Linked DNA regions of Oryza sativa Japonica Group. The main gene of each other region encodes a partner of the protein of the gene in region 2 in a complex. Links are inferred from orthologs where the notes say so. Each region holds a gene or a part of one and is shown on either strand. Other genes may lie near its edges.

Region 1 (3,025 bases), on a different chromosome or scaffold from region 2:
AGTCACTTGTAAGTAACTATGGAGCAGTATATAAGATGCAAGCTTCTTGCCTTTTTCTGTGCTGTGTGCTTGTTATCTTGTACTTGGATGTCAATCTGTCACAGTGAGCTACAAGCAGCTCCACCATGCTGAGGAGGTGTTGAGGCTCAATTCGGATTCCCGGATCACCAGTGCAGTACAGAGTATATGTGTGCCGATGTTCATCACTGATGTGAGATAGAAGAACAAAGTTTTTACGGAAATTCTTACCCCTTTAGTCCTTTTTACTCGTAGCGATTACAGTGGAATCATGTTTGGTCTTCACATGTCAATAAAACTACACAAAAATTAGTACACCATTCAATTGTTGCAAATACGTGGTAAGGTAACCTCTTTTTAAACCAAACAGAACAAAGAAAATCTGGCTGGGTTGTTTCCTGGACAATTTTTTCTTCATCCTGTGCAACGGTTTCAATCAATAACATACTGGTAAAATCCTTTTTTTAAAATCACACATGAATAACTGATAGTAAAATGGAAACATCACTCCCAGAGATCATACATAACAGAAAGACAAACATAAGATAAAAGGAGTGATTATATGAATCAGTACTCCAATTCACCTCCTTTTTCTTTTCAAAAGTCACTAGATAGATATTGACTTAATCTCGGTTTTCATGATCTCACTACATTCCTCCTGAAGGTGATACACTGATACACAGCAGAACTTTGGATCGATTTGATATCGAACAAACCTCAACGAGCATTCAAATCAAATGAGCCCTAATTATGATTCACCTTCTCTCAAGAAGATAACACAGATATTAATTAGACAGTTCACCAGCAAATCTGATAAGCTACAGTCCTACTACTCGAACTTCTTGATAAGGGAGAGGTCGTTGAGCATCTTGTCGATCTTCTCGCTGCCGGGGTCGCCGACGAACCTGCCGCCGGAGCGGAGGGAGGGGACGAGGGCGGAGGCCTCGTCGCTGGTGTCGGGGCAGAGGTTGCCGAGGGTGCAGAGCTCGAACTCGGCGAGGCCGTAGCGGCTCAGCGTCTCCCTCACCTGCCTCACCGCGTCCGGGTTCTTGTACCGGCTGAACCGCTTCACGTACTGCAGCGATTTCTCGAACACCTGCGACACCTGCGACGACGGGTCCCCGTCCGACATGTGCTGGATCTGCTCGTACTTGTGCTCCAGGATTATCGCCACCTCGCAGTTCATCAGGCACTTGGCCTTCAAGAACTCTGCAACCCATCAAACCCTAGGTATCAAATCAAATCAAACCGATACCTCTACTCGATTCCGATTCGGACGGACTCACCTTCCCCGATCTTGAGCTCCGCCGCGTTCTCCTCCTCCTCGCCGGACATCTCGGCGCGCTCTCTCTCCCCTCTCGGTGGCTCACCTCAACCTCGGCGGCTATGGCGTTGGCGATGCGGCTGCGGGCGGAGTCTGGACTCGGGAGGGGAAAAGAAACCAAGGCGGCGAGAGGCGCCTCTTAACGGGCTGGACTCACGATCCGATTCGCTAACAGGCTAGGCCCATTAACGCATTGGGCCGGCTCGATCTGCACGAGCGTGTTCCTTTCGGGGTGATCTGGACCGTCCATCCGTTTACTACTCGACGGCGGCGGCGAGTGGTCGGCGACAAGGACGGCGGGCGTGTCGTCTTCCCCGGCGACGGCGGGGATATGAAGGGGCTCGATTCCCGAGGAGATCAGCATCGGGGGTGTAGCTCATATGGTAGAGCGCTCGCTTCGCATGCGAGAGGCACGGGGTTCGATTCCCCGCACCTCCACCTCACTTCTCTCTTTTTTTTAATTTATTTTTGGTGGATTTATCCGGTGCGGTGGTGCGGGCTCCACGTGGCAGTGAGGCAGGTGGTGGCCTCGAGGCGCCCGCGTGGATTGCAGTGGCGCTGCTCGTCACTTCGTCTCCTCCTCTCCACCACTCGTCGTCGTCGGCGGCGTGGCCATGGCGACACCCGCGCCGCTCTCCGGCCTCCGCCCGCGCGCTCCCGCTCCCGCTCCCGCGGCGCGCAGTCGCCTGTGCGGCCAGTCGCCGCCGGTCGTGGCCCCGCGGCTCGGGGCGTTCCCGCGGCGGCGTGGTGGGGCGGCACGGTGCTCGCCGCGCGCCGAGGCCGGGGACGTGGAGGCGCTTAGGGCGGGGGTGTCGGTGTACAAGCCGCGGTCCTACGACGTGCTCGTCTCCGACGCCGCCCGCTCCCTCGCCTGCGCCATGGACGAGGGCAAGACCCGCCTCGAGATCGAGTTCCCGTACGCCCGCGACCTATTCATTCCCTTTCCTCCATAGATTCGCGCCACCATCTCGCCTAATCTTTTACTTAGTTGGTTATTAATAATGCTTGCATTATCTCATCCTCCTTGTCTCATTTTTTTTTTTGGTGGTGGTGCTTGTGAAAAGGCCTCTGCCGAGCAACATCTCTTCTTACAAGGTATACTTTGCATTTCTATCTCAAGCTCGTCTCATAACTCACACTCATTGTTCTAGTTTCTTGCTTTGTTATGAGTGAATTCTGTAACAATGCAAAGACTAATCTTGATGTATATTATATAGACTGCTCTAGTTTCAGTTTGAATGCTGCTGCTACCTCTGTATAATGTTGTTTCAAAGCAGAATCTCTCTTTTTCCTTGGCTTCAAGTTAAAAAGGGTTTAGCTTTTGTTGCCACATACGTGTGATGAACGCTTGTTTCTAACCATCCTACCCTGCTTTGCTTCGTTTTCAAGGGTTCCTCGGACGAGTTCATCGACGCCAACATCCAGCTTGCTCTTGCTGTTGCCAGAAAACTTAAGGAACTCAAGGGGACTAGATCTTGTATTGTAAGTTCAAGTTTCATGCCTTGTCCTGCTCCAGAATCATTCTGGCATTTGTGGGCATATGCAAATCTTTTCTCATAAATTATCTTCTAGTTGATTCCAGGTGTTTCCTGACCTACCAGAAAAGCGCAGGGCATCCCAGTTGTTCGGGACTGCTCTAGACTCGGTAAATAATGCCTCATGAAACAAAATATCTTAAGAGGA
Region 2 (3,087 bases):
GGAGAGAGACCGATGGCTGGTGTTCGTGGTCCAGTCGTGTATAATAGCCTTCCCTCCTGCTACTTTCGTCGCAGCATACCCCTTGTAATTTCAGTCTGATGATGCTGATGTACAATTTTGTGTTCCAAGTTTTGGGTGGCGAATGGAGTTTGATTTGGTTTACTAGAAGGAGAGAGATGTGGTGTTACTCATGGTGGTTGTACAAAAATTCAATTATATCTTGTTTGGCTCCGAATTGAATTCGATTCATTCAATTGGATTTTGGGCTATATGTTTTAGTGTGCAAGCTAATGATATTGGTTTGGATATCGTAGAAGCTACACTATTGATTCTTATGGGCTATTTGACACGTTTCATTGAAGGCGTACACATGATTGCTCCATTTCTTTGTGAAAAAGCGCACGATCTGAAACAATTACTCTGACCGTTCCTTTGTTTACAAACATGAATATGCGAACAGACTTAAAATTTCTTAAGCAAGGTGTTGTTATTAGCCACAGAAATACTTTGAAACATGAAACAGTTAGTGTGTACTAATTGTACCATTTAAAACTAGACTCTGAACATCGAAGTACATCCAGGCCTCAGTAGAAAAAATGTAATTGAGGCTAATTCATGACGCACCCGACAGAAAGCTAGCAGTAGTTAACACTAAATTATTACTATTTTCTTACAAGATCTCTCATCAAACAATTTTGATATCGTGCTGGTAGAGCCAATACAGGCAATATTCGAGTTGGGATCTAGTATCCCCAAAAGCCAAAAAAAAATAAAAAAGAAACAGTACAAACAACAACATTTTAGTCCCGGTAAAAGATTGTTCAGTACAGTCCCTTAATCCGTATCCCTAGTATACAAGAAACAAAATTTCTTTGCACCACTTCGCCCATGGCGTCAATTTGGCATAATCCAAGGGCACAGCACACCAGGGATATATATAACTCGAGGATGTGGCCTACTGACTGCTTTCTGCCTCAGGGGGTCAGACCGCTAAGCCCAAGTTAGATTTAAGTATTGACTATGAACGAAGACATAGTACGACAAGCGAGTGCCCCATGTAATATTTGGTCTCAACGTTTCTTCTGATCCTTCCCAGTTTTGTTATCCTGAGTGAGCATCCTGGGAGCGATGGCCATCGCCATAAGCTCCTGGAACAGAAGCTTACACGCGTAGGGTATATGCACCTGTCAGTAGGTAGCAGTGTAATTCCCGTTATTGCCATAGTAGTTATTACTTCTATAAATAGGCTTTAGATTCATAGTAATTAACAGTACAGAGAAGAAGGAATTATACTTACTTGGACAATGTCGGTTTTGTTCTTGCACCCTCTGCACTCAAAGGAATTCTTCTTGAGATTAGCAATAGCAATAAGCCCACACTTCTCGCATACATGGACTCTGTACGCATCACTCTGGTCAAATAACCTTTCCTTAAGGAAAAATGCAGCGCCATGAGCAATCATACAGTCCCTCTCCATCTCTCCAAACCGGAGACCACCATCGCGTGAGCGCCCCTCTGCAGGTTGTCTGGTAAGTATCTGCACAGGACCACGGCCTCTAGAGTGAATCTTGTCATCCACCATGTGCTTAAGTCTCTGGTAATAAGTAGGACCAAGGAAAATCATGGCAGTTAATTTTCTTCCAGTGTGACCGTTGTACATGGTCTCGAATCCACGCATCTGATAACCACATTTATGAAGTGCTTTGCTGATGTTATCCACCTGAAATTTATGTAACAAATTCAGATTATTGCAGGTTTGAACAATAAAAGAAAAAGTGATTGATTATCACATAATCTTGGGACTATAACTAGATTATAACTGATTGCAGTAAGCTAGGGGTTGAACATTTTCTTAAAAACAAGTAGAATATAATCAAGACTAAGTCTATAAAAGATTACTCACAGTAACATCAGTGAAAGGAGTTGCATCTCCTTCTTTTCCCATGTGAGCAGCAACTTTACCCATAATACACTCAATCAGTTGACCAATAGTCATACGGGATGGAATAGCATGTGGATTCACAATAATATCAGGTGTGATGCCTTCAATAGTCCATGGCATGTCCTCTTGTGTATAAGTCATTCCCACAGTTCCTTTCTGACCATGCCTACTACTAAACTTATCCCCAATCTGTGGTATACGAACTGATCGCATTCTAACCTTAACAAATCTTAAACCATCAGCATTTGTTGTTAGGAGAACCTGCACAAAAGATAGTAGACTTAGAAGTCTGTTGATTTCAGTGTCATAACACAGCACAGAAACATAAGAGGCGGCGGAGGGAATAACAGACCTGATCCACCATCCCACTTTCACTGTGGCGCAGCGAAGTACTGTGATCACGCTTTGTGTATCTAGTAGCTTGCCCTTGGGCATCATCTTGTGGAATAGGAGATGTCTTCCCAATAATGACATCTTCACCAGATACCCTTGTACCCTGATACATGAATATATATCAGCACATCTATTATGTCGCCATGATAAAGAAAAGCCTACAATAATGTTCTCTACTTACTGGTGGTGCAAGTCCATCATCATCTAGTTTATCATATGACCCATGACGCATTCCCTGCAAGGAAAATTTCAAAAAACATTAGTTCATAAGACCGACAAAGATAAAATCTTCAATGAATCTAGGGGAGCATTACCATAGTATTCTCCCTATTTGGACGGCCAAACTCCTCTTTGACAAGAGTCCCCATCTTCTTTTCCTCATCTCTGCATATGAAGGACTGTCAGGCTACAAGCATTGGATGGAACTTATAAAGTATACAGTGTAATGTCTTCATACCTGTATGAGCGGAAAAACAGAGATCGGAAGAATCCACGATCTATTGAAGATTGGTTCATAATAACCGAATCTTCTTGATTATATCCAGAGTAGCATGCAATAGCAACAATTGCATTCTTCCCAAATCATCAAAGCAAGGTATTAGTAATTACATCACAAAACAAATGCAGAACATGAAGAGAAAGCAAACAAGGTGTCCCGCGGTTAAGATTGTTCACTTACAATGCCAGCTGGTAACTGTCTGAAGTGCAAATGTTCCATAGCACGAGTAGTAACAAGAGGCTTTTGTGGGTAG
Region 3 (4,086 bases), on a different chromosome or scaffold from region 2:
TCACGACAACTTCATCCCCTTAATTGCTTAAAAATGCTGAGTTGCAAAATCAGTTTTTGGGGCATCTTAGGAGCCCCTTCTGTGTAGTGGAATCGTGGAAACGATGGTAACGATTGAATCGTCAGGAAGATCATTTTGGAAGATCATTTTGATCAAGTGTATGCACCGCAAGCCCCTTTGGAAGGAAGACTGAAAGGTTAACCTCTGGCTCTAACTTCTTTGCAGCCTTGCAGGTGAGTTGAGACTTATATATCCAAATAATTTTTGCTCTTTACCAATGTTTTATCTCCTGTCATCTGATTTCTGTTAATACCGCAGGAGCAGTGCCGTATGCAGATCCTTCATTGAAGGACCACGTGAGAATATTGAGTATAACTGCACAATCAAAGTATACTTCCTGTCTTCATTAGGAAGTGCCGTCAAGAACTTAAGTGGGGTGACCGCTGTGTTCTTGCTAACTTATTGTATCTGCCCTTAGCTTGATCCTAACATGAACAACTGACAGTGTAAACCTATCTTTTTTCATTAGCCCTTTCTTTCTCTTTAGTTTTATTTTGCAAGGATGCAGTTCGAAGCATTGAATGTTTAATTGCAAGGATACAGTGCAAAATTGTACAGTCCGTAAAAAGGTCAGAGTTTGATTAGTTAAATGACTGCTTGAAAGTTGAATCCCACAACACACTCAAGCAACAGTGCCAACTTGGTAAAGCGCCATTTATAGTGATGAAAATACAGGTTCCAACCCACTTACAGCCCCTTCCAGTGGGGCTTCCATATTTTAACACTACAATTCATCGGAATATTCCCGTTCAAGAGCATGAAGAGGCGTAATCTTGTCACCGGATAATTTACACTGCCGCACCAGGATCACTGATAACGCCCAGGAAGTCATCTTTTATTGTGCCAATGCAAAACTGCAACAAACATATTCAAACTGTTAGAGCATTGCACATCACCAGCTTAAACGGGGTTATGAGTTATGACAGCAAGAACATGGATTCAGAAATGCCTCAGGGAAGAATATAGCCACATGCATTCAACAATTATCTATTATGATACCATACTAGTGGCTAGCTTATGAGCATTCATGGTAATTACTTGCAATTTGTTGCTACAAGATTACATGTCAAATTTTCATTTTGATATACTTTTCAACTAATTTACTTGACACACATCAAGGTTGATCTTTGCTGATAAAACCACATCTGTTCTTTTTCACACATTAGGAAAGAAAAACATCATGCAAACTACTGGTATGGAAAAGTGGGTTACATCACCAATAATTGCATATGGTGGTTACTCTGAGAGCAATGCTACAAAAATCTAAAAGACAGGGAACACCTGGTTTTTCGTTTGTTTTTTTGCACGAAACTAGATGTCAACAAACTTACAATTTCTGTTGCATCAACACGTGTCCCAATAATCTTCAACCGAACCTCACTATCTTTCTGAATTTTCACCTGCATCGGACAAACAAGTAAATCCTAGTAAGCAAAAGAAGATGGCCAAAGCAATTAGCCTTCAACAGTAGTACAGTATTCACATCTATTCGTTTCTAGGAAAAACAATGAACATATATGTGTATGCATTTCAAGCATAGTTATGACATGCTGATACCAAAATTGGATACAATGGACATTACATTACATTCCCCAGCATTTCTTTTTAAGTCAGACATATCACCAATAAGCATAAATAAACAGGAAAAAAAATCATAACCTGTCAACAGTTGTCAATGTTTATAGAGGACAAGACATAAGAAGTAACTGTAGAAAAGAAGCATACCGATCCATCAGAAGTAGTATAATTTGGCACATCCCCAGATTGGAACTCCATATCATCAGGAATCAACTGCACAACAAAAATAGAAACGGGAAAATGCAAGAACAAAACATTAGTTGGTTAGAAAGCACAAATTCAACTAGAACCTTATGTTGCCTTCCAGTCACTTTAAGATTGTTCAAACCAACATGTTTGATAAATTAGTATCAGAAATTTCTATGACAAAAACCATCCTTCGAGTTGATGGTACAGCTAAACTGGGTGTATGAAAATGGTACTGAACCATTATCGTCTATCGATCATTCTAGCATAAATTCTGATTCTTTTACTCCACAAATTTGGAGCATTAGAAAAAAGCAGCTCCAAGCAATGCAGGCACTCACATGGTTGGACACGAAGATCTGCACAGGCCCAGCCTCCGCGAAGAACCCCATCTGCAGAACCAACACGAAAACGAATTGGAGCCACTAACCACAAACAAGCCCTAATCCACCCAACACCAAATACCAATCCGGCGAGGGACGGAGGCACATCGCCCACCTTGTTGACCATGGTGACGACGGCCTCCAGGATCTCGCCCTTGAAGGGGCGGAAGACGACGCACTGGTACTTGACCGGGAAGGTGACGTAGCCCGTGCCCTCCCTGATGAGCCCCTTGCCGACATCCTCCACCCCCGTGATCGCCACCACGAACCCATGCCGCCCGCTGCAAAAGGACGAACAAGAATGAATCCCGTCGAACCCCACATCCCCTCCCCGCCCTACTAGGGTTTGCCCAACCAATCCCGAGCCCTACCTGCAGGTGCCCTCGACGTCCTTGATGAGCTTGGAGACGAGCTTGTCGCGGAGGTGCGGGCCGAAGTGCCGCGGGTGCAGCTGCATGTTCCGCTCCAGCACGATGTGGAAGAACATCTCGCCCCCTCCTCGTCCGCGCCGCCGGCGAGCGAGCGAGCGAGCGAGCGATTCCTCAACAGTTCGACTCAACTGGCTTGGCTTCTCTCTCGCGAGAGGCAATATTATTAGCCCTGACGAGGCGTTCGAGCCGTCGGATCAACGCCCCTGTGCATATCCTGGCCGTCCAATAAATCTCTTTACCTAGTTCGGCTTGGGCCTCGCACCGACTCCGACTCCGACCCCGACTCCGACTCGCCGCCGCCCTTGCGCCGCCTCCGCGGAGCCCTCCCCTCCCCGCCGGCGGCGGCTGCGAAGGTGCGGCACGTACGCGCTGGTTTCTTCTTCTTCTCTCCGAATCGTGTCCTGGGTTGGGGGGGGGGGGGGCTCCCGCATGCTTGCTTGCTTCTGAATTTGCTTCGCGGGTGTTTGTTTGTTGGTTGTGGCAGCGACTGGATTGGATGGCATCGAGGGTTCCGTCTCCACCGTGCGCGGCGGCGCGGTCCGGTTGGGCTGTCCCGATGGTCTCCGTCCGGCCGGCGAGATCCGGCGTGGCGAGTATGATGTCCCTTTCGATTCGATTCTCTGTATGGCTCGATTTGTTACTGCTTGTCGCGAATTGGGGGAAAAACTGGGATTGCTCGTTTGTTTTGGCAGGAGGACGTGCTGTGGTGTGCGCCGTTATCTTCAGGCCGTGTATCGATATTCATAAGGTCCGTACGAGTGGAACACTTGCTTCCTCTTATGTTTCATGGGTGTTCTGAACATTAACATGATCGTAAATTGATACCCCAACTTTGTAAGCAAAGTACTTTCAGAAGTTTTTTCAGCTTGTATGCTCCAAATTTTCCTGCGATGCGATTCACCTGGAACACCGTGATATTAAAACTAAAGGCTTATGCATTGATTTCTACTGTCATTTTGCAACCATGTGAGTTCAGTTACTTCTGGCATTAACAGTGTCATTTATCTGATGGGCTGTTTCTTAATATAAATTTTCAGGGGAAAGTTAAACAGATTGTTGGCTCTACTCTTCGGGATTCATCAAACGATGGCACGGCACTTGTTACAAATTTTGAATCAGACAAACCTCCAGCAGAATTTGCAAATATATATAAAGAGGATGAACTTATTGGTGGACATGTAATCATGCTTGGTGCAGATCCTGCTAGTCAAGCTGCTGCCATGGAAGCACTACATGCATATCCTGGTGAGAATGTTATCTAGCTGTTACCTGTTAGCATAATTATGTTGTTATTTGGACTAGTTCTTTTGTGAGCAGCTGTCTGTAGTTGTTTGTTCTTTACTGTTATCAATAATAATTATGATATAAAGCCACATTTGTGACTATTGAATATATGGGTGCTTACAGTGTATATAATTTAATAAGTGCAGTGTTTGTTTTTATTTTCT

Evidence for each region.
Region 1: DNA-directed RNA polymerase II subunit RPB2 (region 2) and DNA-directed RNA polymerase II subunit 4 share a complex: the UniProt entries of both Arabidopsis thaliana proteins name them as parts of the RNA polymerase II complex. The link is inferred for Oryza sativa Japonica Group from reciprocal best matches to the Arabidopsis thaliana genes NRPB2 and NRPB4.
Region 3: DNA-directed RNA polymerase II subunit RPB2 (region 2) and DNA-directed RNA polymerase II subunit RPB7 share a complex: the UniProt entries of both Arabidopsis thaliana proteins name them as parts of the RNA polymerase II complex. The link is inferred for Oryza sativa Japonica Group from reciprocal best matches to the Arabidopsis thaliana genes NRPB2 and NRPB7.

Annotation. Positions count from the first base shown.
Region 1 is NC_089036.1:900,902-903,926, forward strand, and holds DNA-directed RNA polymerase II subunit 4, read right to left. Parts: upstream 1,444-3,025; 5' UTR 1,354-1,443; coding exon 1,305-1,353; intron 1,228-1,304; coding exon 848-1,227; 3' UTR 560-847; downstream 1-559. Other genes in the region: protein LPA3, read left to right, coding at 1,957-2,258, 2,407-2,437, 2,732-2,824, 2,925-2,987. UniProt on the Arabidopsis thaliana protein: DNA-dependent RNA polymerase catalyzes the transcription of DNA into RNA using the four ribonucleoside triphosphates as substrates. Second largest component of RNA polymerase II which synthesizes mRNA precursors and many functional non-coding RNAs.
Region 2 is NC_089037.1:25,903,954-25,907,040, reverse strand, and holds the end of DNA-directed RNA polymerase II subunit RPB2, read right to left. Parts: coding exon 3,015-3,087; intron 2,909-3,014; coding exon 2,793-2,908; intron 2,720-2,792; coding exon 2,650-2,719; intron 2,571-2,649; coding exon 2,517-2,570; intron 2,439-2,516; coding exon 2,295-2,438; intron 2,204-2,294; coding exon 1,904-2,203; intron 1,721-1,903; coding exon 1,298-1,720; intron 1,185-1,297; coding exon 1,071-1,184; 3' UTR 631-1,070; downstream 1-630. UniProt on the Arabidopsis thaliana protein: DNA-dependent RNA polymerase catalyzes the transcription of DNA into RNA using the four ribonucleoside triphosphates as substrates. Second largest component of RNA polymerase II which synthesizes mRNA precursors and many functional non-coding RNAs.
Region 3 is NC_089039.1:19,589,755-19,593,840, forward strand, and holds DNA-directed RNA polymerase II subunit RPB7, read right to left. Parts: upstream 2,774-4,086; 5' UTR 2,695-2,773; coding exon 2,579-2,694; intron 2,489-2,578; coding exon 2,323-2,488; intron 2,217-2,322; coding exon 2,166-2,216; intron 1,852-2,165; coding exon 1,786-1,851; intron 1,461-1,785; coding exon 1,392-1,460; intron 915-1,391; coding exon 849-914; 3' UTR 611-848; downstream 1-610. Other genes in the region: 1-(5-phosphoribosyl)-5-[(5-phosphoribosylamino)methylideneamino] imidazole-4-carboxamide isomerase, chloroplastic, read left to right, coding at 3,135-3,231, 3,331-3,386, 3,676-3,883. UniProt on the Arabidopsis thaliana protein: DNA-dependent RNA polymerase catalyzes the transcription of DNA into RNA using the four ribonucleoside triphosphates as substrates. Component of RNA polymerase II which synthesizes mRNA precursors and many functional non-coding RNAs.